4 linked regions of the Mus musculus genome follow. Each later gene encodes a partner of the first gene's protein in a complex. Links are inferred from orthologs where the notes say so. Each region holds a gene or a part of one and is shown in the gene's direction. Other genes may lie near its edges.

What was found.
Region 2: Tbl1xr1 (region 1) and Hdac3 share a complex: the UniProt entries of both Homo sapiens proteins name them as parts of the N-Cor repressor complex. The link is inferred for Mus musculus from reciprocal best matches to the Homo sapiens genes TBL1XR1 and HDAC3.
Region 3: Tbl1xr1 (region 1) and Gps2 share a complex: the UniProt entries of both Homo sapiens proteins name them as parts of the N-Cor repressor complex. The link is inferred for Mus musculus from reciprocal best matches to the Homo sapiens genes TBL1XR1 and GPS2.
Region 4: Tbl1xr1 (region 1) and Coro2a share a complex: the UniProt entries of both Homo sapiens proteins name them as parts of the N-Cor repressor complex. The link is inferred for Mus musculus from reciprocal best matches to the Homo sapiens genes TBL1XR1 and CORO2A.

The regions. Positions count from the first base shown.
Region 1 is NC_000069.6:22,200,977-22,206,540, forward strand, and holds part of Tbl1xr1 (F-box-like/WD repeat-containing protein TBL1XR1), read left to right. Parts: intron 1-2,120; coding exon 2,121-2,248; intron 2,249-2,850; coding exon 2,851-3,016; intron 3,017-4,864; coding exon of another isoform or gene 4,865-4,897; exon of another isoform or gene 4,898-5,564. UniProt on the Homo sapiens protein: F-box-like protein involved in the recruitment of the ubiquitin/19S proteasome complex to nuclear receptor-regulated transcription units. Plays an essential role in transcription activation mediated by nuclear receptors.
Region 2 is NC_000084.6:37,940,311-37,945,874, reverse strand, and holds part of Hdac3 (histone deacetylase 3), read left to right. Parts: intron 1-99; coding exon 100-181; intron 182-307; coding exon 308-364; intron 365-479; coding exon 480-535; intron 536-849; coding exon 850-983; intron 984-1,665; coding exon 1,666-1,746; intron 1,747-2,097; exon of another isoform or gene 2,098-2,123; coding exon 2,124-2,197; intron 2,198-2,354; coding exon 2,355-2,419; intron 2,420-3,907; coding exon 3,908-3,997; intron 3,998-4,108; coding exon 4,109-4,167; intron 4,168-4,416; coding exon 4,417-4,496; intron 4,497-4,764; coding exon 4,765-4,922; intron 4,923-5,564. UniProt on the Homo sapiens protein: Histone deacetylase that catalyzes the deacetylation of lysine residues on the N-terminal part of the core histones (H2A, H2B, H3 and H4), and some other non-histone substrates.
Region 3 is NC_000077.6:69,911,975-69,918,299, forward strand, and holds Gps2 (G protein pathway suppressor 2), read left to right. Parts: upstream 1-2,045; 5' UTR 2,046-2,365; coding exon 2,366-2,459; intron 2,460-2,777; coding exon 2,778-2,887; intron 2,888-2,958; coding exon 2,959-3,071; intron 3,072-3,164; coding exon 3,165-3,244; intron 3,245-3,333; coding exon 3,334-3,416; intron 3,417-3,656; coding exon 3,657-3,810; intron 3,811-3,890; coding exon 3,891-3,980; intron 3,981-4,058; coding exon 4,059-4,138; intron 4,139-4,223; coding exon 4,224-4,319; intron 4,320-4,445; coding exon 4,446-4,529; downstream 4,530-6,325. Other genes in the region: Neurl4 (neuralized-like protein 4), read left to right, coding at 1-120, 1,153-1,357; Eif5a (eukaryotic translation initiation factor 5A-1), read right to left, coding at 5,465-5,527, 5,623-5,754, 5,943-6,047. UniProt on the Homo sapiens protein: Key regulator of inflammation, lipid metabolism and mitochondrion homeostasis that acts by inhibiting the activity of the ubiquitin-conjugating enzyme UBE2N/Ubc13, thereby inhibiting 'Lys-63'-linked ubiquitination.
Region 4 is NC_000070.6:46,598,018-46,604,068, reverse strand, and holds the start of Coro2a (coronin-2A), read left to right. Parts: upstream 1-2,139; 5' UTR 2,140-2,252; intron 2,253-6,051.

The DNA.
Region 1 (5,564 bases):
TATTAAGAGAATGGCTGTGCAGGTTAATTATGCTGCTGTATTTATCACAGCTCTCACTGGTGATGAGGCAGTCGAGGCATAGGTTAATCTATAGGAGACTTTTGAAAATCTATACACAGTCACAGAGGTTGTGAATTCTCTGTTGTCTTCCAACTGGAAACCCAGGAAAGCTAGTGTCTTACTTTTGTTATGCTAAGATACTATGATGAAGGCAACCTATAGAAGAAGGGTTTATTGGGCCTAACAGTTTCAGATGGTGAATCCATGACCATAGCAAGGAGCATGACAGCAGGCAGGCAGGCAGGCAGGCAGGCAAGGCAGTGGCTTATGTCAACAATCCCAAGGCAGAGAGAGGGAGTGCAATGGGAATGGTATCAGTCTTTGAAGTAAAAGCATCATCCAACAAGGCCATACCTCCTCCTCATTCCAGAGTAGTTCCACCAACTGAGGACTAAGCATTTAAATCTATAAGTCTATGGGGGCCATTCTGATCCAAACCGCCATAGGTAGTCGTGTGGTTCCAAACTTGAAGCTCAAGTAGTGCCAGGGCCATTGGTTAAGGCCCAGGCTGAAGGCAGAAAACCTGTATTTCAGCTCAGTATTGAAGCTGCCTACATGAATGCTGCCCATCAACATGGAGAATGCAGTCTGCTTTGGTCTTACTGAGTGACACAGGAAATAATGCTTAGGCAAGATATCTGAGTCTCCCATGCGTTGGTCAAGGTGAGATAGGGAACTAGCCATCCATGAACACAGTGTGATGTGACCTTATCCCACAAGGAGTGAAGCATTATGTGGAAGTAAAGACCAGCCTAGTGCTAGTCTCTGCAGTGACTGAGCCTTTTCACTTCTTCATGCCACACATGCTCTACTGAAAACATTTATCCTTAGCTTCAGTACCATAGTGACAGCTCTTACAAATAGGGTAGTCCTGCAGGAAAATAACTTGGTTTTCTGGGAAGAGGCTAAGTGTGCCTTCTCCTCCCTTAACCTCCAGGATCAAATGTAGGACTTGGGAATGCTAAGGCAGCATGACAACCTGAGCTGCATCTTTAGCCTTGTTTTTGTTGTGGTTGGTTTTGTTTATGTTTTTGTTTTTGATTTGTGTGTGTGCCATAATCTCACCGTGTAGCCCAGGCTGGCTTTGAACTTGAGATCCTGCACATCCTCAAGCCCTGGGTATAGGATGAAGCCACCATACTGGCTTCCTTGTATCTCTTCCTCTGTATTTCCTTCTCATCCACATGCATTAAGTCTTATACAATGAAGGAATGCCAGTGTTCAGAGAAGTTTGTTTGGTAGATTGAGCTGCAAGCTGAAGAGCCTAGAACTAGACACCTTGGGGTCTAGATTGCAGCTTTTTTTCACCCAACAAAGAATTTTGGGTCACAGAGGATTTCAAAGCAGAAATGAAATGGTGATATGTTATGAACAGCAGGCTATAGGATGATAAACCTCATGAAACAGAGTCCCCTAGATGAAGAAGAGTCGAAAAGTGGAAAGAGGAGTGTGACAAGGGTTGCAGGAGTGACAATGGTAAGCTCCCCAGTGCCCAAAGCTTGAAAACAAAAGCAGAGTTTTAGAAATGGATGGGTCAGCTTCATTTCCTAGGACTGTAAACACCTGAGCTATAAGGCACTGTTACTTAGCTGTTACTGCATTTAAAGAATGTGACTTCCAGTTGTTTTTGGTGTTTGTATTTGTGTGTTGGGAACTGAACAAGGGGCTTCACACATTCCTACCCCCACTCGTTGCCCACCCCCCTCTGGACTCCCCTTGCCGAGTTATTGGAACCCTACCTACCTACCTACCTAGTTCAAGGACTTTGTAAATGTTGAGATGAGTTAGTCCACTCAGCCTTCAAGTTTTGCAATCAGGAATATTTGGATCAAATATTCATTTATTCAACTACTCTTACACTTCTTTTTTTTCTCCTTATTTATTTATTTATTATTATTATTATTATTATTATTATTATTATTTTTACTCTTACATTTCTTTGTTGTTATTCTCTTGATGTTTGGCTGTGGTATTTTTTGTTTCTTTGTTTACTTTAAAGATCATGGCTTTTAAAAGTATCTGTTGTACAGAAAACTACCACATTTTTTCTTTTGATTTAGATCTGGAGTATGAAGCAAGATAACTGTGTCCATGATTTGCAAGCACATAATAAAGAAATTTATACTATTAAGTGGAGTCCAACAGGACCAGGGACAAATAATCCAAATGCCAACCTTATGCTAGCAAGGTGATGTGTCTGTTTCACTTTTCCTGTTGAGTTTCTCATGCATAAAACTTTTGGGAAAAAATGGCAGAAAACAGGGAACATATCTTGAGGTGGATATATTTCAGTGGGAAACTTTAAACATGGGTTTTTAATATTAGAATTTCAGGACTTAATGCTTTTTTGTATCTATTGATATAAAATCCAATATGAATAAAACCCAATAGTTAGGTTTTGCATATTGACCCACACTTAAAATCCTACACTTAAGTCAGTGTGCCTGAAATCAACATGGGCTCTATAGTGAGACTCTATTTCAGTTAACAGCAGATCATTTGGGCATAGGATAATAAAAGTCCATCAGCAACCTTTTTTTTTTTTTTTTTAAAAAAAAAGAGAGAGATTCAGAACCAAGGACCAATAATCAGGATTGTTGGGAGTTACCTGAGTGGGCAGGGGTCAGGGCCTTCCGTCCTTTTCATGTTTCCCTCCCAGTTTCCACACTATTTGAATTTTAGCCGTTTAGTTTGCTAGCCTCTTAGGATGGGCAGAATGTGGGAGGCTAGGGGCAAGGCCAAGAGAGTATTTGATTGCTTATAAAATTATTTTCCTTTTCCATTTTTTAGTGCATCCTTTGATTCTACAGTTAGGTTATGGGACGTAGACAGAGGGATTTGCATCCATACTTTGACAAAACATCAAGAGCCCGTGTACAGTGTGGCTTTTAGTCCTGATGGCAGGTATCTGGCAAGTGGTTCTTTTGACAAGTGTGTGCACATCTGGAACACACAGGTACGTCCCATTAATTTAAGCTGCACTTACTAAAGAAGCATTTACCGATTTACTTATATTTTTGTTTTTCTTTATGTGATATCAATGTGATGCTTAGTTTTAAGAATCTAAGAACACTTTGGGGCATTTTATAGCTGAATCAACACTGACTGAAAGTTGCATTTTATGTGCAAAGTCAATTTAGAAATAGATGTCTTTTTTTACTTGAGCAGCATAGTATATTTGAAATGAAGCTTACGGTGAACTTAACCTTTCTTGAGGTTAAAGGACAAGATCTCTTTAGTGACTTCACACTTGGTTGGCTGCCTTTTCAGGGATGGCAAGGAGCTACCCCCAAATAGAAGCCAGTTTGTTGCTTTTGCTTTCACTTTTCTTTATAGCTTTTGTGCCCTATGAACTGCCCTATGTTCCCCAGGTCTGCGTTGGTGTAGTGCATACTAATACATTACAGGCTGCCATTTCCTGATCTGTACTAGATTCCCACTATATTTTATTTGATGCGTTACTTGCTCTAAACCATTTATATTTGAGTATCTTTCATTAAATTCTATATCTGATGGCTCAGGAAGGGCCATAGTGAGGAGCTTTTGGCCATCTTTGCCTTCATGGCCAACAATGACTTTTCTTCTTAGCTCTCTTGCATCTTTACTGCACAAAGCACCATGCTTCTGGCTCATACTCAGCAGGAGTCCAGTTCAGGGAGGGTTCAAGCTTACATTATTATGTGAAATGAAGCTGAGTATCCTTATGTACTTCAGTAAGTAGGCTGACTTCTTCAGTAAGTAGTTTTGAAAATTCTCTTGAATTTTACTTTAAAAAACTAGCATTTAAACTAAAGAACACCATTATGGCACTTTGTGCTTTGATTTTTTTTTGGGGGGGGGAGGGGGTTGAGACAGGGTTTCTCTGCGTAGCCTTGGCTGTTCTGGAACTCACTTTGTAGACCAGACTGGTCTTGAACTCTGAAGTCTGCCTGCCTCTGCCTCATTAAAGGTGCTGGGATTAAAGGCGGGCGCCACCAAACCCGGCTGCTTTGATTTTTTTATTAAGCCTGTTTCCTGCGCCTCTCGGTGACTCTGCCCTCCCTTCCCTTCCCTTCCCCCAGCTGCTGTTCCAGCCTCATGCTGTCCTCTCTCCTCATTAAGACCACTCTAAGCCCTCTCATAAACCCGTCTCTAGCTTCATGACATGCACTCCAACCTACATTAATAAACGCTAACTAATGCAGTATATTCATGAGAGGAAACGTATTTGTCATTTGAGTCTGGCATATTTTGCTTAATAATACTTCCCAGTTCTACCGATTTTCCTGTAAAATATTATGGTTATTTTTCCTCTAAGGTTACATAACATTCCATTGTGTATGCATGTTTCTTCTGCTCTCGTTATTCATGTGTTGATTCTCATCTTGAATAGTACAGCTGTGTACATGTTTCTGTGGTGTATTGACTGGGTCCTTCATTTCATCTGTGTGCTTGGGGCACAGCTCCTCTGTTTCTGTCACTTACTCTAGGACCCTCCATAGTGAATTCTGCAGTGTTGTACTAGTTTGCACTCCTTCCAGCATGTTAGCACTTTTTTCCTGACAGCCATTCTGTCTGGGGTAATTAGAAGCTCAAAGTAGTTTCAGTTCACCTTTCTCTGATGGCCAGGGGTTTTGAAAACATAGAAAAACACTTGTTGGCCATATCTGTCATTTGCTTCTTTGGTTCACTTTGGGTGAACAAATTGACTGGATTAGCTACCTTTGTGGTGGGGGTTTTTTAAAAGATGTATTCTGACTTTATTGACTGAAGTGATAGGCACTGATCGTCTCCCATTTCCATTTTCTGTCTCTCCTCTGCTCAGTGCTTGCTGTGCCTGGGATTTCACGTCACGTAATCATCAGCTCCTGCAGCCTCCTCCTGTGAACTTGAGGCCCGCGCAGATCATGTCCTTTCCTTTTTCAGTTAGATTGTTAATAGTTTGAGATCCTTCTGACCCCACCCCCAAGTGCTGAGATCAGAGGTCTATTCCTGATTTAAAACAAAAATTTTCCCATAGTGTCTTCATAGATAGTATGTTACCTCTCTTCTTTCATTTTTTTTCTTTATGAGTATATGCCAGGCAAATTCTGTACTTATGAAATACATGTTTAAAACCACCATTTCTCACCTTTCCTAAGAGAGCACTGATGTACCCAGTTCAACTTTTAAAAGCTGAACACAGTGATGTGTATCTAAGGCTAAATGTAAATACAAATAATAGGGTTAACATAAGTCTCAGATTTACTTTATAAGGACATTTTGCCATGTTTCTTGTAGATATCTTTCTTCTGGTTCTCAAAAGGATTTCAGCTTAATTGTTTTTATTGACACAAGTAAAATGTTTAACTTCCTATCTGCTGATTCAGTCGAAGAGCTGTCAGCACTTCCCATAATAGCCAGTGCATACACAGAATAGTACGATATATACTACATGTCCTTTGAAGATTGTGATGTGCACCAATCATTTCTGCTTTATAACCACAGGAGTTTATACATGTCGAAAATAAGTGGTTTGATTTATT
Region 2 (5,564 bases), on another chromosome or scaffold:
GTAGGGGGTGTTTTAGACAGTGGTAATTGGAGTTTGGGTGGGGAAGGTGGGGGAAAGTGACAAGAGGGGTGTTAACCCCACCCACTTTTTGCCCTGCAGCCCAGTGTTTCCAGGACTTTTCGAGTTCTGCTCCCGTTACACAGGCGCATCTCTGCAAGGAGCAACACAGCTAAACAACAAGGTGATGTAACCCTGAGTCTTGGTCCTTTTTCCTGTGGGTTTCCAGATTCAGGACCATAGAGCCTTGATCTGGAACCCAGCTTCAGTGGTGGGCAAGAAAAAGACTGAATGGGTGTTTATCTTTCAGATCTGTGATATTGCCATCAACTGGGCCGGTGGTCTACATCATGCCAAGAAATTTGAGGTAAGGTTGCAATGGGGAAAACTGTGGCTACCCTAGGTGAGGTCGGCTGAATGACAGTGCTGGGGTAGCTGGATAGAAGAATTGTTCCTCTGTTTATAGAACCATCTCCCCACAGGCCTCTGGCTTCTGCTATGTCAATGACATAGTAATTGGTATCCTGGAGCTGCTTAAGTAAGTATCGCCAGAGGAGATGAGAGACTTTGGGATGCAGGTCCTCAGGCCGTGGCCCAGCCCTGACCTCCTTCCCCACTGGCTTCTCCTAAGTTCTTGATGCTTCTTCCTGCTTGGCCCTGCTGCCTGCTCACATTTCAGCCCCGCTGCATGTTCCCTTTCTCCCCAGGCTCTAGCCTGGAGGAAGCTGGTGGGATGAGGTTTCAAGTGACTTGGCCAGAGGCAGACTCTAAATAATTCCAGAGATTGTGTTGGGGAGGAGAGGACTGGGTGATAAGCCTCTTCCTCAGAACATGGCTCTGTCCTCACACCAGGTACCACCCTCGGGTGCTCTACATTGATATCGACATCCACCATGGTGACGGGGTTCAGGAAGCCTTCTACCTCACTGACCGGGTCATGACTGTGTCCTTCCACAAATACGGAAATTACTTCTTTCCTGGAACAGGTAGGGAATAGAATTACTGTGGTTTTTTGTTTTTTGTTTTTTTTTTGTACCCCTTAGCTCTTTGTGTGTGTGTGTGTGTGTGTGTGTGTGTGTGTGTGTGTGTGTGTGTGTCTGTACAGAATCCTCCATAATCAGCATGCTGAATTAGGGAGACCAGGGATGTGCCATTGCCCCTGGCTGTCCTTCAGCTCTCTGCCATGACTGACTCCTTAGCCTTCTGGTCTTAAGTATTATGTCCTTTCTGCAGAGAAACCTTTCTGACCACTCCATTAAGTCAAACAGGTACCTCACCTTCTCTTTTTCTTAGAGTCCTCACTGCTAGTTGTATTTATTCTAGTTTTTATGTTCATTCTTTGTCTATTGCTACAGACCAGGCTGGCTTCTGCCTCTTGAGTGCTGGGATTAAAGGCATGAGCCACCATGCCCGGCTAAGTAAAATTTTTTGAACCAGACAAGGAGGTACATACCTATAATACCAATAATCAGATGGCCGAGACAGGCGAATTAAGAGTTCAAAGCTAACCTGGGTAATGCAACAAGTTCCTGGCCATCCTGAGTTACATAGCTGTGACCCTGTATTGAGTGAATGCAGGTTGCTGGAGCCTTGGTGGTAGAAGGCACAGAGGAACGGCTGTGTTGAGGGAACTTCCTGTGCACGGTCACTGCGCTCTCTTTTCTGTAGGTGACATGTATGAAGTTGGAGCAGAGAGTGGCCGCTACTATTGTCTCAATGTGCCCTTACGAGATGGCATTGATGACCAGAGTAAGTTCTGATGACTTCTCTCTGCTCACTCGTCTCCCCTTTTCTTCTCTTTCAATTAACCTCTTCTGCCTGGTATTGTCTATTGTTGGGCCAGGTTTCCTTAAGGACGAATGGCCTTCAGAGGGACCATGAACCCTTGGAATTTGTATGACATATATTATGTGTGTATACGTTTTGTTCATTTATTCTTCTGGGAGGAAGGTTGCTAGTGTTTAACTTGGCAGTTGTAACACCCTCCAGAAGTTCAGAACCAGTGGTTGGTTCTGTGGGTCGCCCCTTTCCTGGGCTACATGCTCTCTCAACCCCCTTTTTCCTTTTGTTCCCTGTCTCCCCATCCCCTTGGGGTGCCAGGTTGCCCACCTTTGGCCCTCTCCCAGGTTACAAGCACCTTTTCCAGCCAGTCATCAGCCAGGTGGTGGACTTCTACCAGCCGACGTGCATCGTGCTCCAGGTAACTCCCTTAGCACCTCCCTAAGAGGACTTGCCTGGGCTACAGGAAGGAGATCAGGAAGCGTAAGCTCCCTAAGTTGGTGAGGAAGGACGCTAGAGGACACTGATGTTCTGAGCATTCGTGCTACTGTAGCCATTTGGGATTTTCCTTTTTGCAGTGTGGCGCTGACTCCCTGGGCTGTGATCGATTAGGCTGCTTCAATCTCAGCATTCGAGGACATGGGTGCGTTGCCTTCCTTCTTGTTGTTATTTAAAGTTGTAATTTGTTGTTGTTATTATTATTAATTATTGCATATATATGTGTATATGATACACATACATACAATCAAAAATCTAATGAGGGAAAAAATAAGACAGGGTAACAACAGGGAATCTACTTTTTAATGGTACAGTTTTATTTAAGGGCTCACTGTGTGGCATAGGCTGGCTTTGAACTTGTGACCCTCCTGCTTGAGCCTCTGAAATTCTGGGATTACAAGCTCAGGTCACCACACCTGGCTTGGGAATGTATAGTAGACAGCATGCTTTGGGAAAGGTTTTCTGAGAAGGTGAAATGGGAGACCTGGAGACTAAGGAGTGAGCCGTAAAAGGAGAACAGAGAATCCTACTCCAAGCAGTGTGAAGGGCCAGTGCAAAGCCCTAAGACCGAAGTAAAAAAGAATTACTGTCTTGACAAGAGACAGTACAGCCTATGAGGCCAGAACATAGGCAGGTGCTATAAGCTGGCCAGGCTGAGAGTGTGCAGAGCTATTAGACCCTGTCTTCCATGGGTGATAGAAAACCGTTGAAGGATCTTAAACAGGGAAGTGACAGGGTCCAATGAGTTTGAGAGTTACTGTTCTGACTGCTAAATGAAGAAAGGGTTGGTGTGGGAGTTGGGGTCAGGGTGGGTAGTGGGCAGCCAGTTAGGAAGCCAATCACATTATTTGGGCAGGGCATGTGTTGATGGAGAGAAGTACGAGGTATGAAGGTATGTCCTGAAGCTTAGAACAGACATTCTGGTGGCGACACCGATGGGAGTAGTTGGGTAGCAGGCCAGGTGTGGCGGAGAGTAGTAAGCAAGGCCGTGAGGGTGTGCTTTATTTTAAAATGTTCACTGAGACACAACACAGTAAAGTACGCTAGTATTTTTATTTGTTCATTTGTGTGTTTGTGTGTGTGTGTGTGTGTGTGTGTGTGTGTGTGTGTGTGTGTGTGTGTGTAGCATATAGCTCAGAGCCAGGTGGGGACAGGGTGACTAGCACACTCAGTAAAAGTGCTTGCTATACAGAATGAAGACTTGAGTTTGATCCCAGAACTCATGTAAAAACACTAGGCCCGGTGGCACCCATTTATGATCTGTAATCCCAGCCCTGGTGAAGCAGAGACCAGAAGATTCATAGGGCTTGGTAGCCAGCCAGCTTAGCCTACTTGGCAAGTGCCAGGTTAAAAAAAAAAAGGTGGCTAGTATCTTTAGGCCAACACATGAAAATGTCTTCTAGCCCTTGTATACATGTGTGAACATACATGCACACATCCTCAGACACACATGCACTGGCACACATGTGAAGACAAACCCGTTTATACAAGTAGTCACACACAAAGAATGCAACTTTGAGTTATACTACACAATATGACAGAGAAATATTGTTGGTCAAGTCTTTGTACAATATTTCCAGTCATGTCTGGGGTCACATGTCTTAGATTTACCTAGTCCTCTTGTTTCTAACAGGGAATGTGTTGAATATGTCAAGAGTTTCAATATCCCTCTCCTGGTACTGGGAGGTGGTGGCTACACTGTCCGAAATGTTGCCCGGTGTTGGTGAGTGTTCTGTTCTACTACTCTGTGGTTCACGACAGACTCCCTAAAATTGGAGGGGTGGTCCTTTCAGCCCACGCCATCAACCCAAACCCCTCTGCTTGCTGGTTTCAGGACATATGAAACATCTCTGCTGGTAGAAGAGGCCATTAGTGAGGAACTTCCCTATAGTGGTAAGATCCACTTCATGATGCCACCACAGGGGGACACCATTCTCACCAGTCCTCAGAATGACCTTGTTTGGAGGGAAATTGCACCTTCTGGTAGCTCTGCAGACTAAATCCCTGTGCTCAGAGCAGAGCAAATACTCTTACACATGGGGACCAGGCCTCGGAGAGGAGATCAGAAAGCCATGGGATTCACTCTGGTGTCTCAGCCATACTCTTGTTCATCCCCTCTCCCAATTGCTTCTCATCTCTAAGAATACTTCGAGTACTTTGCCCCAGATTTCACACTCCATCCAGATGTCAGCACCCGCATCGAGAATCAGAACTCACGCCAGGTTAGCAGCTTGGAGAGGCTGGACACAGCAATGGGGGGGGGGGTTCAGGAGAGGTCCAGGAGGGGGGAAGTGGAGAGAGCAAGAGAAAGAATTTCTGGGCTGTCACTGTCGATCTTATCGTGGGGTTGTTGGGGAGGGACAGTTGCCAACTGAGGATCTGACCTTGAAATACTACCTTAGATCAGGACGGTCAGGGACGAAGGTGGGTAGGATTTCCTGTACTATAGGAATCACCCCAACACCGCTGACTTTCTTTCTTCTAAACTAGTATCTGGACCAGATCCGCCAGACAATCTTTGAAAACTTGAAGATGCTGAACCATGCACCCAGTGTCCAGATTCATGATGTCCCGGCAGACCTCCTGACGTATGACAGGACTGACGAGGCCGACGCTGAAGAGAGAGGTCCCGAGGAGAACTACAGCAGGTCTGGGGCAGGGGCTGGAGGGCAGGTGCTTCCTTAGGCTTGCAGAGAAGGCTTCCAAGTGAGAAGGCACAAGTTCATCTGGCCCTGGCTGGTTTCCTTTAGACTGCGAGCCTTCTACTCTTTTTGACACTTTTAAGAACAAAACAACAATAATATGAAAATATTATAAACATCAAAATATGTTGTGTTCACGTAGTTCCAGAATTATTCCATGGAAGTAGCTGTTATTTATGGCTTGATTTATGTATTATTTGAATAGATAATTTTCTATAGATTATAAGAATACTACATGCACATGTGCATATCCAGAATTTTATTTATACAGCTTTTTTTTTTCTTGATTTGTTGCTGGTTTTTTTTTGGGGGGGGGGGTGACACATGGTTTCCTCTGTGTGGACCAAGCTGGTCTTTAAATCAGATACCCTCCTGCCTCGGGTTTCTAAATGCTGGGATTATAGGCATGGACTGCTTGCTCTACCCAGCTTGTTTATACATTTTTTTGTTAATCCGTGGGAGGATATTTTCTATATGTTGTTTGGAGTTACACTTGCCTGTGTCAGTGTGTGTAGATCAGTGTTTTCTCAGTTGTATAATTCCATTGTGTGGTGGTCACATGATTGCGAGGGTAATCAGTTACCACTT
Region 3 (6,325 bases), on another chromosome or scaffold:
GGTGGGATTTGAGGAGCCTGGTGAGAACTGTGCACCTCCCCGGGAAGAGCAGCCCCCTCCAGTGCTGCTCTCCCCCTCCCTTCAGTATGCCGGGGCAGAGATGCTGGCCTCCAAAGTGCAGTGAGTACATGCCGGGAGCACTAGGGGCTCAGGGCTGTGCTCAGTCACCCACCGCACCCTTCCTGCCCTGCTTGTTCCTGGATGCACCTTTACCTGTCACTGTTCCTCCTTCCCTCCCGTAATACACACGCATGCGCGCGCACACACACACATATGCACGCACACACACACAGAGGCACGGTTTCTCTATGTATCCCTGGCTGTCCTAGAACTCATTCTGTAGACCAAGTTGGCCTTGAACCTAGAAATTCTAATTCCAGTGCTGGGATTAAACACATGGGCCACAGGGAATCAGATTCCATTATAGATGGTTGTAAGCGGTGCTGGGAATTGAACTCAGGACCTCTTGAAGAACAGCCATCTCTCCAGCCCCTTTTGGTTTTTTTGTTTTTGTTTTTGTTTTTGTTTTTCTTAAAACAGGATGTCAAGTAGTCCAAGCTGGCCTCACATTCATGTTTGGTTTGTATCTGAAGCCGGCCTTGAACACTCAGTTCCTGGTTCCATCTCCATGCTGAGTGTGGATTAGATGAGTGCATCTGTAGGCCTGTTTTTCTGAATGTGTATGGATACCAAGTCTTTCAAAATATCCTGCACCAGGCAATGGGTTTGACCCCTTGTACTACCTAAACTGTGCTTGCGCATTGTAACAAATTCCTGGAGTCCTAACACTAAGTGGCAGGGTCAGTGGGTCGGAAGTTTAAGGTTGTCCTTCCTTTATAGGGAGGTTGACTCCAGCCTGGTAGAGACCCTATACTGTCTCCCAAAAGTGGGTGAAGTAGATGAGAAGTGCACTTGGAGTGTTTGGAAGACGTGAACTAGAGTGCCAGGGTAAATAAACACATGAAGAGTGCTGGGGAGGAGTTAGCTGAGCAGGCCAGGGGAGGAGAGTACTACATACACAATAGTTGGTGCTAAGCCAGTCACGGTGAACAGTATTTCCCAGAAAACAGCAAGGCCTGGGTGGAGGGGGCAGAATTAGCAGTCATGGACCTTGGGAGCCTTACTCTTCTCTCGTTTCTGCTTGGCTAACAGATTCCGGGACCCAAAATCCCAGCGGACACACCAGGCTCAGGTGGCCTTTCAGGTGTGTGTGCGCCCTGGCTCCTATACTCCTGGCCCTCCCTCTGCGGCCCTCAGAGAACTTCCTGACCAGCACTTCAGCCCATCGGAACTTGAGTGGGTCACTAAGGAGAAGGGAGCCACACTCCTCTATGCCCTGCTGGTACGAGTGGAATAAGGGGTGACATACCACTACTCCAAGCACAGCCGGGCCTCAAGCCCAGGACTCTTGAATGACGACTGCCTCCACCTCATTCCCGTGACTGAGAGCATGTCCAGTGCTGTCCTGGCAAGGAGGAGCACGTAGGCAGGCTTTGATTTAGAGCAGGTGTGAAGCACATCTCTACATTCAGGGCCCAGCACACTCCCTCTGCTGAGAGGGAGCCCAGCTCGTCTCGGGGTCCCCCCTTCATGCACTGACTTGGGGAACATGACTCCCTATTATTACCCTCCCCCATATCACTTAATTTATTTCCGTTTTTGTTTCTGGTTACTGTGAATCCCAAAGGAGTCTCTCTGTGCCCACATGAAGCTGCTTTTTCCGTGGCCACTGGGCGCCATGGGGAGGGAGTGGGTAAAAGGAAGGGCTGCCCGAGGACGCTGTGGGCCTCTGTACAGTTGTTACTGACTCTGATTTCTAAGGAGCCAATAAATACTGTCTTCAGAGCATCTGCCTCCGCCTCTGTCTCCCGCGGCCTCGCGAGTGAAGAGTTCTAGGGGCTTTATCATCCCAGGCCGCTCTGTAAATCCACATGGAGTTTGGACATCCCGGCACCCGTCTCTAAGCGCTTCCGCCTTCCCTTTCCTCCAATCGGCTGTGCCGTTTGCCGTCGTGACTCCGGAAGGATTTATCCTGGCCGCCGGATATGACGTAGAGGCCAAGGCGCGCCGAAGGCCTCGGAGAAAGCGCCGACAAGGCGGGTTGCGGGGGTTGGCGCCAGGGCTACGAGGGAGGGGCGGGGGCGCGGAGCCTAAGACCCTCGCACGCGCCCCGGCGCTGAGGCAGAGACCCCGGAGGGACGCTGGTGCCCGGGACACGTGATCGAAGTGGCGAGCGGGCGGCGGACGGGCTTCCGCTTCGGCGCGTCGCAGTCTCTCTAAGCTCCCACTTCCCTGCAGGCCCCGCCTGAGGTCTGGCAGTCAGTGAGAGTCGGGTGCCCACTGCCCAAGCGTCACCAACAGCATCATGCCCGCACTCCTGGAGCGCCCCAAGCTTTCCAACGCTATGGCCAGGGCTCTGCACCGGCACATCATGATGGAGCGGGAGCGCAAACGGCAGGGTGAGCCTGGGCCAGAGCGGGAGGACAGACACTCGGCTCAGGGTGGCCCTGCTACCCACGAACTTGCCCCCATCCACGGGCCCAGCTGTGCGCCTGCTGGCGAGGCTAAGAGGGAGGCAGCGGCGCCTTCGGGGTGTGAGTGAAGAGGCCCAGTCTAAGTTCCAGACCAGAACCCTGGGCTGGGAAGGACCTTGGAGAGCACCTAATGAAGCCAAGTTCTCCCTGTGGCTGTGATGGAGTAACTGGTTTTTGCTGGTCTTCAGTCTAACGCTCAGCTTATTCACACCGCCTTGCCACTTCCCCGTTCTGATTCTTCAGAGGAGGAAGAGGTGGACAAGATGATGGAACAGAAGATGAAAGAAGAGCAGGAGAGAAGAAAGAAAAAGGAAATGGAAGAGAGAATGTCACTAGAGGAGACCAAGGAACAGGTAAGTAGCCTCTCCACACTTGTTTCTCGATGCCTTCTTTTCCCTGCTTTAGCTGCTCGTCCCTCTTCCAGATCCTGAAGCTGCAGGAGAAGCTTTCTGCTCTACAGGAGGAGAAGCACCAGCTTTTCTTGCAGCTCAAGAAAGTTTTGCATGAGGAAGAAAAACGGAGGCGAAAGGAACAGAGGTGTGATGAGATGGCTAAAAGTAAAATTGTGCAGTGGCACAGGTGACAATCTAATAGCAAGAGGCTAACTGACCTGTCTTCCTTCCACTCCAGTGACTTAACCACTCTGACATCAGCTGCATACCAGCAGAGCCTGACGGTTCATACAGGAACCCACCTCCTCAGCATGCAGGGTGAGAGGACTGAGGAAACCGCCTAACAGGGGAGTTCTCCAGGAGGTCGCTGCCTATTTTAGCATCGTGAAACCTCTCCCCCTTTCTAGGGAGCCCTGGAGGACACAATCGCCCAGGTACTCTGATGGCAGCTGACAGAGCCAAGCAGATGTTTGGACCACAAGTGCTTACGGTGAGGGAAAGGTTTTTTGATTTTTTTTAACTCTTCAGGCTGGCTTTTTAAGTTACTAGCCAAGACTAGTCTTGAAATCTGATCCTAACTCCATGTCTCCTCCTTCTGTGGATCAGTACTGTTAATCCCAATCATTCAAGAACAAATATACCAAGCATGTGTATGTAGGAGCTGAGCGTAAAGGCATATATATATACATATGGGGTTTTTCCTAAGCAGTGAGCTTTCATTTCCCCTTAGACCCGGCACTACGTGGGATCAGCAGCTGCTTTTGCAGGAACCCCAGAACATGGACAATTCCAAGGCAGTCCAGGGGGTGCTTATGGGACTGCTCAGCCCCCACCTCATTATGGGCCAACACAACCAGCCTATAGTCCTAGCCAGCAGCTCAGAGGTGAGTGTTGTTCTCCTCAGACTAGGGGCAAGAAGAGCAAGAGCATCAAACCCTAACAGATCATCTCCCACCTTCCTCAGCCCCATCAGCATTTCCTGCAGTGCAGTACCTATCTCAGCCACAGCCACAACCCTATGCAGTGCATGGCCACTTTCAGCCCACTCAGACAGGTGAGATCCCCCTGGGCAGGAGCCCTACCTTCAGGAGTCCTACTGCCACCTGCTCATTTCAAACTCTCCTCCCCTCAGGGTTCCTCCAGCCCGGCAGTACCCTCTCTTTGCAGAAACAGATGGAGCATGCCAACCAGCAGACCAGCTTCTCGGACTCAGTGAGTATGGAGTCCTGGGAGGCCAAGGTGCTAAGATGAGGGGAGCCCCAGGATGCCTCCCTTTAAGGTCAGCTTTGTCTCCTAGTCTTCTCTGCGGCCCATGCACCCCCAAGCTCTGCATCCAGCCCCTGGACTCCTGGCTTCCCCCCAGCTTCCCGTACAGATACAAGCAGCAGGGAAGGTAAGGCTGGCAATCAAACCTACATATACTACCAGGGAAAGACTAACCTCTTACTGTAACTGTCCCCTCCCCCTTGTGCTGAGTGCTGGAATACCTACCCACTGATAAAACTCTTATCATTACCAGTCAGGCTTTGCCACCACCAGCCAACCTGGCCCCCGACTCCCTTTCATCCAACACAGCCAGAACCCAAGATTCTATCACAAGTAACCACCAGAGAGCTCCAGCCCACCCTCCATCCCTCAGGCTGGGGTCTTATGTGCCCCAAACCAATAAAATGTACAAAATGTACCCACCATCATGCCTGAGTGCTGTTTATTTGCTTCCTATCCAACTGCCTAAACCACAAAGGCTACTATGAAGTCTCAGCATTTCTAGATTCTAAAAGTACCTTTCAATCAACAAATAAACAACTGAGTTGGGGGCTTCATATTAAACTTGTAGTTTTATTCAGGTTTGATTTTTAACAAATGTGTCAGGGAGAGAGCCCACAGGAAAGGGTAAAGCCCGTGGGGGCAAGGCCTTCCCAGATGCCTGAGGAGGGATCGTGTCCCCTCCCCCCCTCCTCTTCTCACCACCCCTACAGGGGTTTGGGAAGAGACACAGGCAGGGAAGGGGCTGGTCCCCAGTCTGTACAGTGGTGCTTGGGGGTGAAGGACTATGGAGAACAGGGGACCAGATCGGGGATGAGTAGGATAAAGGGCACAAGACCATTTACCAGAATCCAGCTTTCTGATTCCAAATTGAATTAAAAAGAAAAAAAGGAGAGGGGAACCTAAACCACAAGCAGTACCCAACTCCCTTTCCCCCATCAGGGCTGCGAGAGAAGAGGCAGGGAGTTTCACCAAGGCCATGGCTCCCTCATTCCTGGCCAAGGGAGCTAGGTGAAGGGCAGGGTCTCCCCGACAGTTTGAGGGGGTGAGGAAAACCAAAATAAAACGTCAAATAAATTTGAATAGGAGTCCAGCCAAGGGCCCAGCCAGAGCAGAACCTGGCTGGGGGAGGGGCCTCTGTAGGCTCATGGATCACTGCTGCCACCACCGCCACCCTGGGCAAGAGAAAGAAATCATGTTTAAGATATAGGATGTAACTTCAACAGTAAGTGTGGGGACAGTGGGGGGTGCGTTCTCTCACCTGGAAGCCGGTTATTTTGCCATGGCCTTGATTGCAACAGCTGCCTCCTCTGTCATGGCAGACAGCACTGTGATCTGGAAAAGCAAAATGACAGTCCAGAGATGCCTTAACTGAAAGACTTCGAATTAAGGATCAAAGCAGCATACAAAGCAAGGAGGGGGCATCGTACCAGGATCTCTTCTCCACAGTCATACTTCTGCTCAATCTCCTTGCCAAGGTCTCCTTCAGGCAGACGAAGGTCCTCTCGTACCTCCCCACTGTCCTGGAGCAGGGATAGGTACCCATCCTGGATGCCAATCAGCTGGGAGAAGTTAAAAGCAGGTACAAGTAGGTTAAGTATAAGAGAATGGACAGACCAACTACAGTGACAGCAACTTCCTTCACTCCACAGCCTTTACCAGCTCCCTCTTTCCCCACAAGGTGCAGTCAACACCGCCCCCACATACACACTCTTCTAAGCCACCAATCATCTTCATCCTAATAACATACCTGGAAGTCATTCCGTTTGATGTTGGGGACATCCATATTATGAGTTGACGGGCAGATATCTTCATATTTCTTCCCAGTAAAAATGTCAATGCCAACCAGATGGACCTGTGTACATATATCATAAAGAGAAACCCAACAAATCAATTTTTGAAGTATGAGACAAATGTCTGTGTCACTTACTGCCTGAGAGGTGAGCGTGCCATGTTATGGGTAAAGATTAAGGAATTATAAATGAACCAAGTGAGAAAGATATACTAAAGTCTTCAAGGTCTTAAAAGATCACATCTGAAGGTTAGCAAGTGAGGGAAGTCAGTCTCAGGGAACTCATTTACATCAAGTCTCAAAAACTGACTGGCAAGACCTGAGGATATCACCCAACTGCT
Region 4 (6,051 bases), on another chromosome or scaffold:
GATGTGAGAGGGATACGCCCCCAAACTACTTTGTTCAAGCTTATATCCCAAATAGACCCTTGCCCAGGGGCTATCTTCTCCCAGTACAACACACACACACACACACACACACACACACACACACACACGGCCACATTCTACAGGACAAGTAGAAAGTCAATCAGTGATGTCTCCCAACCCAACACGTCCCATAGTGTCTGACCCCATAGTGTCTGAGCAGGCCCTGGTAGGCTGTGTCCCCTTGTGTGTAACTTAGGGGTTGTCAGGGGCTGCCTTCCACACCTGAGGTAGGATTAGGAACCGGTAAGAGGACACAGGGAAAGCCCCTCCCCAGACACAGAAGAGGCATGCCAGGTTCCAGGTCTCCCCTCTGATTTACGGGTCCACGTGCCCACAGTCCCCCAGATAATCCTGTCAAACAAGCCTGTCCCAACAGACAACTGGCCTGGCACCATGAAAAAAGAGTTTCTTTTAAGATGATTTTGAAAGAGACCTTCCAAAGGAGATGATGCGAGCGGGAGCTTGGGAATGATGCTGAGAGAGAGAGGACCACCAGACCCTAGCCTCCGCCTTTACTGTGTTGGGGCATCCAGATGAGTCAGCCTGCTCCAGGGTAAAGCCAAGTCAGAAACACTGTGGTGGGCCTGGCATGGTGGCCCCAGCCTTTAGGAGGTAGACAGGAGAATGAGTTCATGGGTTCTTCTTAGTTCATAGACAGTCTAAGACCGACCTGGGCTATGTGGGACCCTCCTTAAAAAAATTAATAAATGGGCTGGTAAAATGCCTAAGAGGGTGATAGTGCTGTCTCAGGAGCCAGGCAGCCTGAGACCTGTCCCCAGGAACCATGTAAAAAGCTGAATGCAGCCCTCCTACTTGGAGATGGGAGGCATCTGATATATTGCCCGATAGCTCAGGGACAGTCAGCCAGGAATATGTAGCATTGCAGAAATAAGATGAAAGGAAAGAACTAACTTCTGAAAGTTTGCACACACACACACACACACACACACACACACACACACTCGTTAAAAAGTGACAAAAATGTTTTAGATTACCATGGACCCTTGAGGGCAAAGGTCCAACTGCTGCGGTTGTGCGCTGTGTGCTTCTGCCAGTGCAGCTCCAAGCGGGATGCAGGGGGAATTCAGACGTGGGAAACCCACAGCTCTAGGAAGAAAACCGGCCCAGGGCCCTGTGGTTCAGCAGGAACTAGAGGAAGGCTTTAGCGACTGCTGTTCTAAAGTGATCAAGGACTCACCAGAGCTGAGTGTGGTGGTGTAGTCCTACAATCCCAGCTCCTAGAGGCTGAGGGAGGAAGATGGCTAGTTCAAAGCCAACCTAAGCAATTTAGTGAACTCTTGTTTCAGAAAAAGAGGAGAGGTCTCACAGTGTAGCTCAAAGGTAGAATACTTGCCTGGCAAGCATATGCACGGTCCTAATGTTCAATCCCACCATCACAAATCATACACACACACACATTAAATTTGTTATAGAGCCTACCAAGAACTCAGCTAAAGTCTCAACTTCTTGTCTATGAAATGGGAGTATTATGACTACATTGAAGGCGTTGGTAGATCAAATGTAATAAATTGTGTTCTTAGTTAACAATATATACAATACCTACTTTGTGCCAGGTACAGTGCTAGTCTCCCTCCTCCCCCCCGCCCCCCACCAAACACATCACTACAAGACACGAAGAACACTTTCCAAGACAGGTGGTGTGGCGTGGTTATTATGAAAGATATGACGTCCTATCTTCCATATTCAGTGAGCACCCGGCTGAAAGAGGGAGCGGCTTGGACGCAGCGCCCCCTAATGGCAGCAGTGGGAAGGATCTCCCGGATGCGCAGCCGCCCTCCGCTCTCCAGTTCTCCCGCCGCCTGCAGAGCTGCGGTCCCGGCGCTCGCTGCGGGATCCAGCTTCGAGCCATCTGGGAGGCAGGCGCGATGACAGTCTCCATCTCAGCAAGGGGAAACTGAGGTTCGGGACCCGAGTCCCACCCAAAGCCTGCGGCGAGAGCGTGTCGGAGGCGAGAGTGTGTGCACGCGGGACGGGAACCGAGCTGCGGGCGACGGGCGGCGCACAGGCGGGGCCTCTCCGTCCCGCCCCGCCCCGACCCCGCCCGGCCCGGTCCCGCCCGCCGGGCTGCGCGGGGAGGCGGCGGCACTGGGCGCGGGGACTCGGCGGGCGGCGCGAAGCGCGGAGCGGGAGCCGGAGCCGCCGCCGCCGCCACCTGCGCGGCAGCCAACAAGGTAGGGTGGGACCGGGCCGGGCGGGACGCTCGCTGCGCCCGGGCTGCGGCTCTGTGGCGGGAGGGATGCTGTCCCCGGCGTCGCGGAGACCTATCCTCCAGACCCCCGCACGATCTCACACAAAGCTCTGCCCCGCTCCAGTCCTCAGTTTCCCCATCGGGATACTGGTGCGGCCGCTCCCTCAGTGGGTGACTAGGAGCAGCGACCCCCAGGTTCGCGCTCCAGAGGTTAGGGGCCAGTCCTTACCGCCCGCGCCTCTTGCGGCGGTGAGCGGCCCGCCCTGGGCGCGGCAGCCAGTCTCGACAGGCCCCGGTGTGGCCCAGGTGCCCCGTGGACCCGAGTCGTGATTGTTCCTGTCCTGGCTGGGTTACCCGCGGGGGCCTCAGCTTCCAGTCCCGGGAAACGGTGGAGGAGGAAGCATCCCTGAGTCCCTGCCGAGGCGACCTGGGCGCGCGGGTGGGGCGAGCAGTCTGCTACCCAGACCAGGCTCATCGCCTGGAGCTGGAGGAGGAGCCCCGCGCTGGCAATGGCCAGATCTCAGCCTCAGACCTGCCTGGACCCGAGCCGAGCAAACACCCACCTGCATTCGGGCAATGGAGAAGGACGTCCTGGTCCGCGCCCTGGCCAGCTGCCGGAGCCCAGTTCTGCGTACCAGCCTGGTGGGACAGGGTTGGTACTACCACACTCGGTCCTCAGTCCACTTGCCAGGAAAACAGTGTCTCCGGGGGTTGGGGGACTGAGCATGTATCTAGGGGTGCAGTGACTCCAGGATCTTTAAAGACCTCTGGTGTAGGGCTGGGAAGTTCTATAAGATGCCTTTTGATGAAGGTCTTATGTTGCATTCTTCTCGAGATGGGGACTCTCACTAGCGAAACTGGGGAATCTGGTCCCACTGTGGCTGCAATCCTGATAGTGTCCCTTAGCTAGCATGTGGCCCTTCTGTCTCAGAGCCTGCTCTTCTGCGAATGCTCCAGGGACTTGTTCATAACCACCTGTGCCTCAGCACAGGAATGTGTCCTTACACGTCCCTCGCCTCCAGACATCTCTTGAGGGATGTGGAGGGAGAGAAAGGCTTAAGCCCATCTCTGGACACTTCTGCCTCATTTCCTGACATCTGTCCCCACTAAGGAACAGGCTCAGCACCTCCTGATCGCCTGTCTCCCTCTCCCTCACCCAAGGACTTTCTTAAGGCTAAAAGAGGAGACCCTTCCCTTTCCCCAGGCCAGCGCCGGTAGTGAGCCCTACGTCATCTAAGTGTACAGGCAGAGGGCTGGGTGGGCATCATAGGGTGCTGTGCGTTGCCAGGGCCAAAGCAGTGTGGCAGGGGACCTTGCCCTGTGGCCCCAACCTGGAGCTTCGCTGCAAATGAGTGTTATTATCCCCTCATAAAGGGAGACTAAGTATAAGTGTGGCTGCCAGAGCCCAGCGCCAGCTCGAAAGCCTAAGTACCACCTGAGTCCCCTGTCATTGGGAACGTTTGTGATCTGGGAGGCTACAGTGATGGCGCATGAGCAGGCAGGTCCTGATTATTACAAAGTCATCCCGAACTTTAAAAATGTACTGTGGAGTTGTGGATTCTCTGACCTGAAAGGGTCTCTAGAAACCATCTCATCCCAGGCCCTTATTCTAGGGGCAGTCTAGAAACCGTCTATCTCATCCAACGCTCGTATTCTATGGGCATATAATCACCTGTCCCAGGAGGGGGTGTGCCTGGTAAAGGCCACACAACAAACCAGCCAGGAATCCTAATTCCAAGAATGGGGTGCTTAGCAGCTAGGGTGCAGCTCAGTCGGCAGAGTTCCATCCCCAAAACCGAATCGACCGAACTTGGAGATTCACTTGGAGGATGGGGAATTCATCCACCAAAGCCAGGCTATCCTCTGCTACAAATGGAGATCAAGGATAGCCTGGGGTACATGAGACCCAAGGGGTGGGGGTGGGGACATAAAACATATCATAAATGAAACAGTCTCATTGCTTCGTAAAAGCAACAGGATATAAACATAGAAGGTTAAAAAAACCGTGCTGGTAGCCGGGTGGTGGTGGTGCACGCCTTTAATCCCAGCACTCGGGAGGCAGAAGCTGGCGGATTTCTGAGTTCGAGGCCAGCCTGGTCTACAAAGTGAGTTCCAGGACAGCCAGGGCTATACAGAGAAACCCTGTCTCGACAAACCAAAAAAAAAAAAAAAAAAAAAAAAAAAAAAACGTGCTGGCAAGGTTGCAAGCTTTTGCCTGAGGTGTGTCATTTTGTAGAGTAACCATAGAAACAAAAGTCTGTGAAATGGATCTACCTGCCCTTTGCTCCCAGGCCTCTCCTTCGGGGACTTCACCCCTGAGGAGGTCACTAGAGAGACACGGGTGTATTACTGCTATCCTGGAGTGTCCTGACAGTGAAGAAACATTCTGAGACTTCTGGGACACTGAAAAAAAGGCTAAGAGGCAACGGCAAGATAATACATACACACACACACACACACACACACACACACACATACATGGCCCAAGTGGTCTGGAGGAAAGACCGTGAGACAGGGTGGCAGACACAAACCCTGTCCCCTCTGTGATCTCTGGCCTGCTGGTTTCCACCTCAGTTTCTCCATCTGGGAAGTGGGCGTGGCCTCGATGGTGACTGAGTCTGCACAGCTCAGCAATGGAGCCTTCTACAGGAGGAGCAGAGTGCTCTGGACATCCAGAAACTGCTGTCCTCCCTCCCTTCCCCAGAGATAAGTGCATTCCCTTGGGGAGGGCGGCCAGATCCCCCCAAGAGACCCTGCTTGAAGCTTTTGCTCTTTTCAAATAGCCCTGGATCAGACCTTGGAGAGCGTTCCCTCTTCTCTGCCAGGCAAGAGAAGACCCCAGGTGATGCTGCAGTTTTCATTTTGATGCAGAGGGCAGGGGAGGGGAGTGTCGTGTGTGTGTGTGTGTGTGTGTGTGTGTGTGTGTGTGTGTGTGTGTGTGTGTGTGTGTGTGTGTGTGTGCTCTTCCTCAGGGCAGTGAGGAGGCACTTGGCACTCCCACTCCATCCAAAGGGCCAAGATCTCTCTCTCTCTCTCTCTCTCTCTGGATTCCTTCTGCTGCTTATGCATTAGCCTAAACCACTCCAGAAAGGCTTATAGCAAACCTTTAAAATAATAATAATAGCAGTAGTAATGAATTCATGTGGTTCAACCTAAGCAGAAAAAGATATAGCTAAAGATGTTATTATGGTTCCTTACTGTAAGTGAGCCATGAGGTGTGGTAGGTGTGATTAGATTCGAAGTAAGGAAGTCTTGAGGGGCAGCCTGATCAATAACAGTGATGACAACCACGGGGCTACTGTTGATCAGCCCTTGCTACTCCGGGCCTCCTCCCCAGGCCGCCCCCAGTGTTTACCAAATGCCTTCACCAGAGAATAGGCCGGAAGGAGTTTGCAGTCTGTCTGATAGGGAAGGCAGAAGGTGACAGAAGAAAGAAAGAGCAAACAGGAGGGAGTGGAGGAATGTGACCACAGAAAAGGGGACAGCCATTCTAGGCAGGTAGGTGGCTTAGGGACTCTGAGAGGGTGACTTGGCCAAACAAGGCTGAACTGTGGGGCATGAGGGGGTGGGGAGAGGCAGTGAGAAGCCCCTAAGGTGGGCCGGCGCTAAGAAGAGCAGGAAATCAGGAAAGAGCAAGAAAACGAAGGGCAGAGGCCACGGTCCGGATTACCTAACCCACCCCACCCGTGTGCAGGGTGCAATCCTACAGGTTAGTGCGGGAGGTACTATTTTTAAGTCTCTCTTTCGGTTAGAAAAGCATGAGGTGCAGAGAAGCTTAGAAA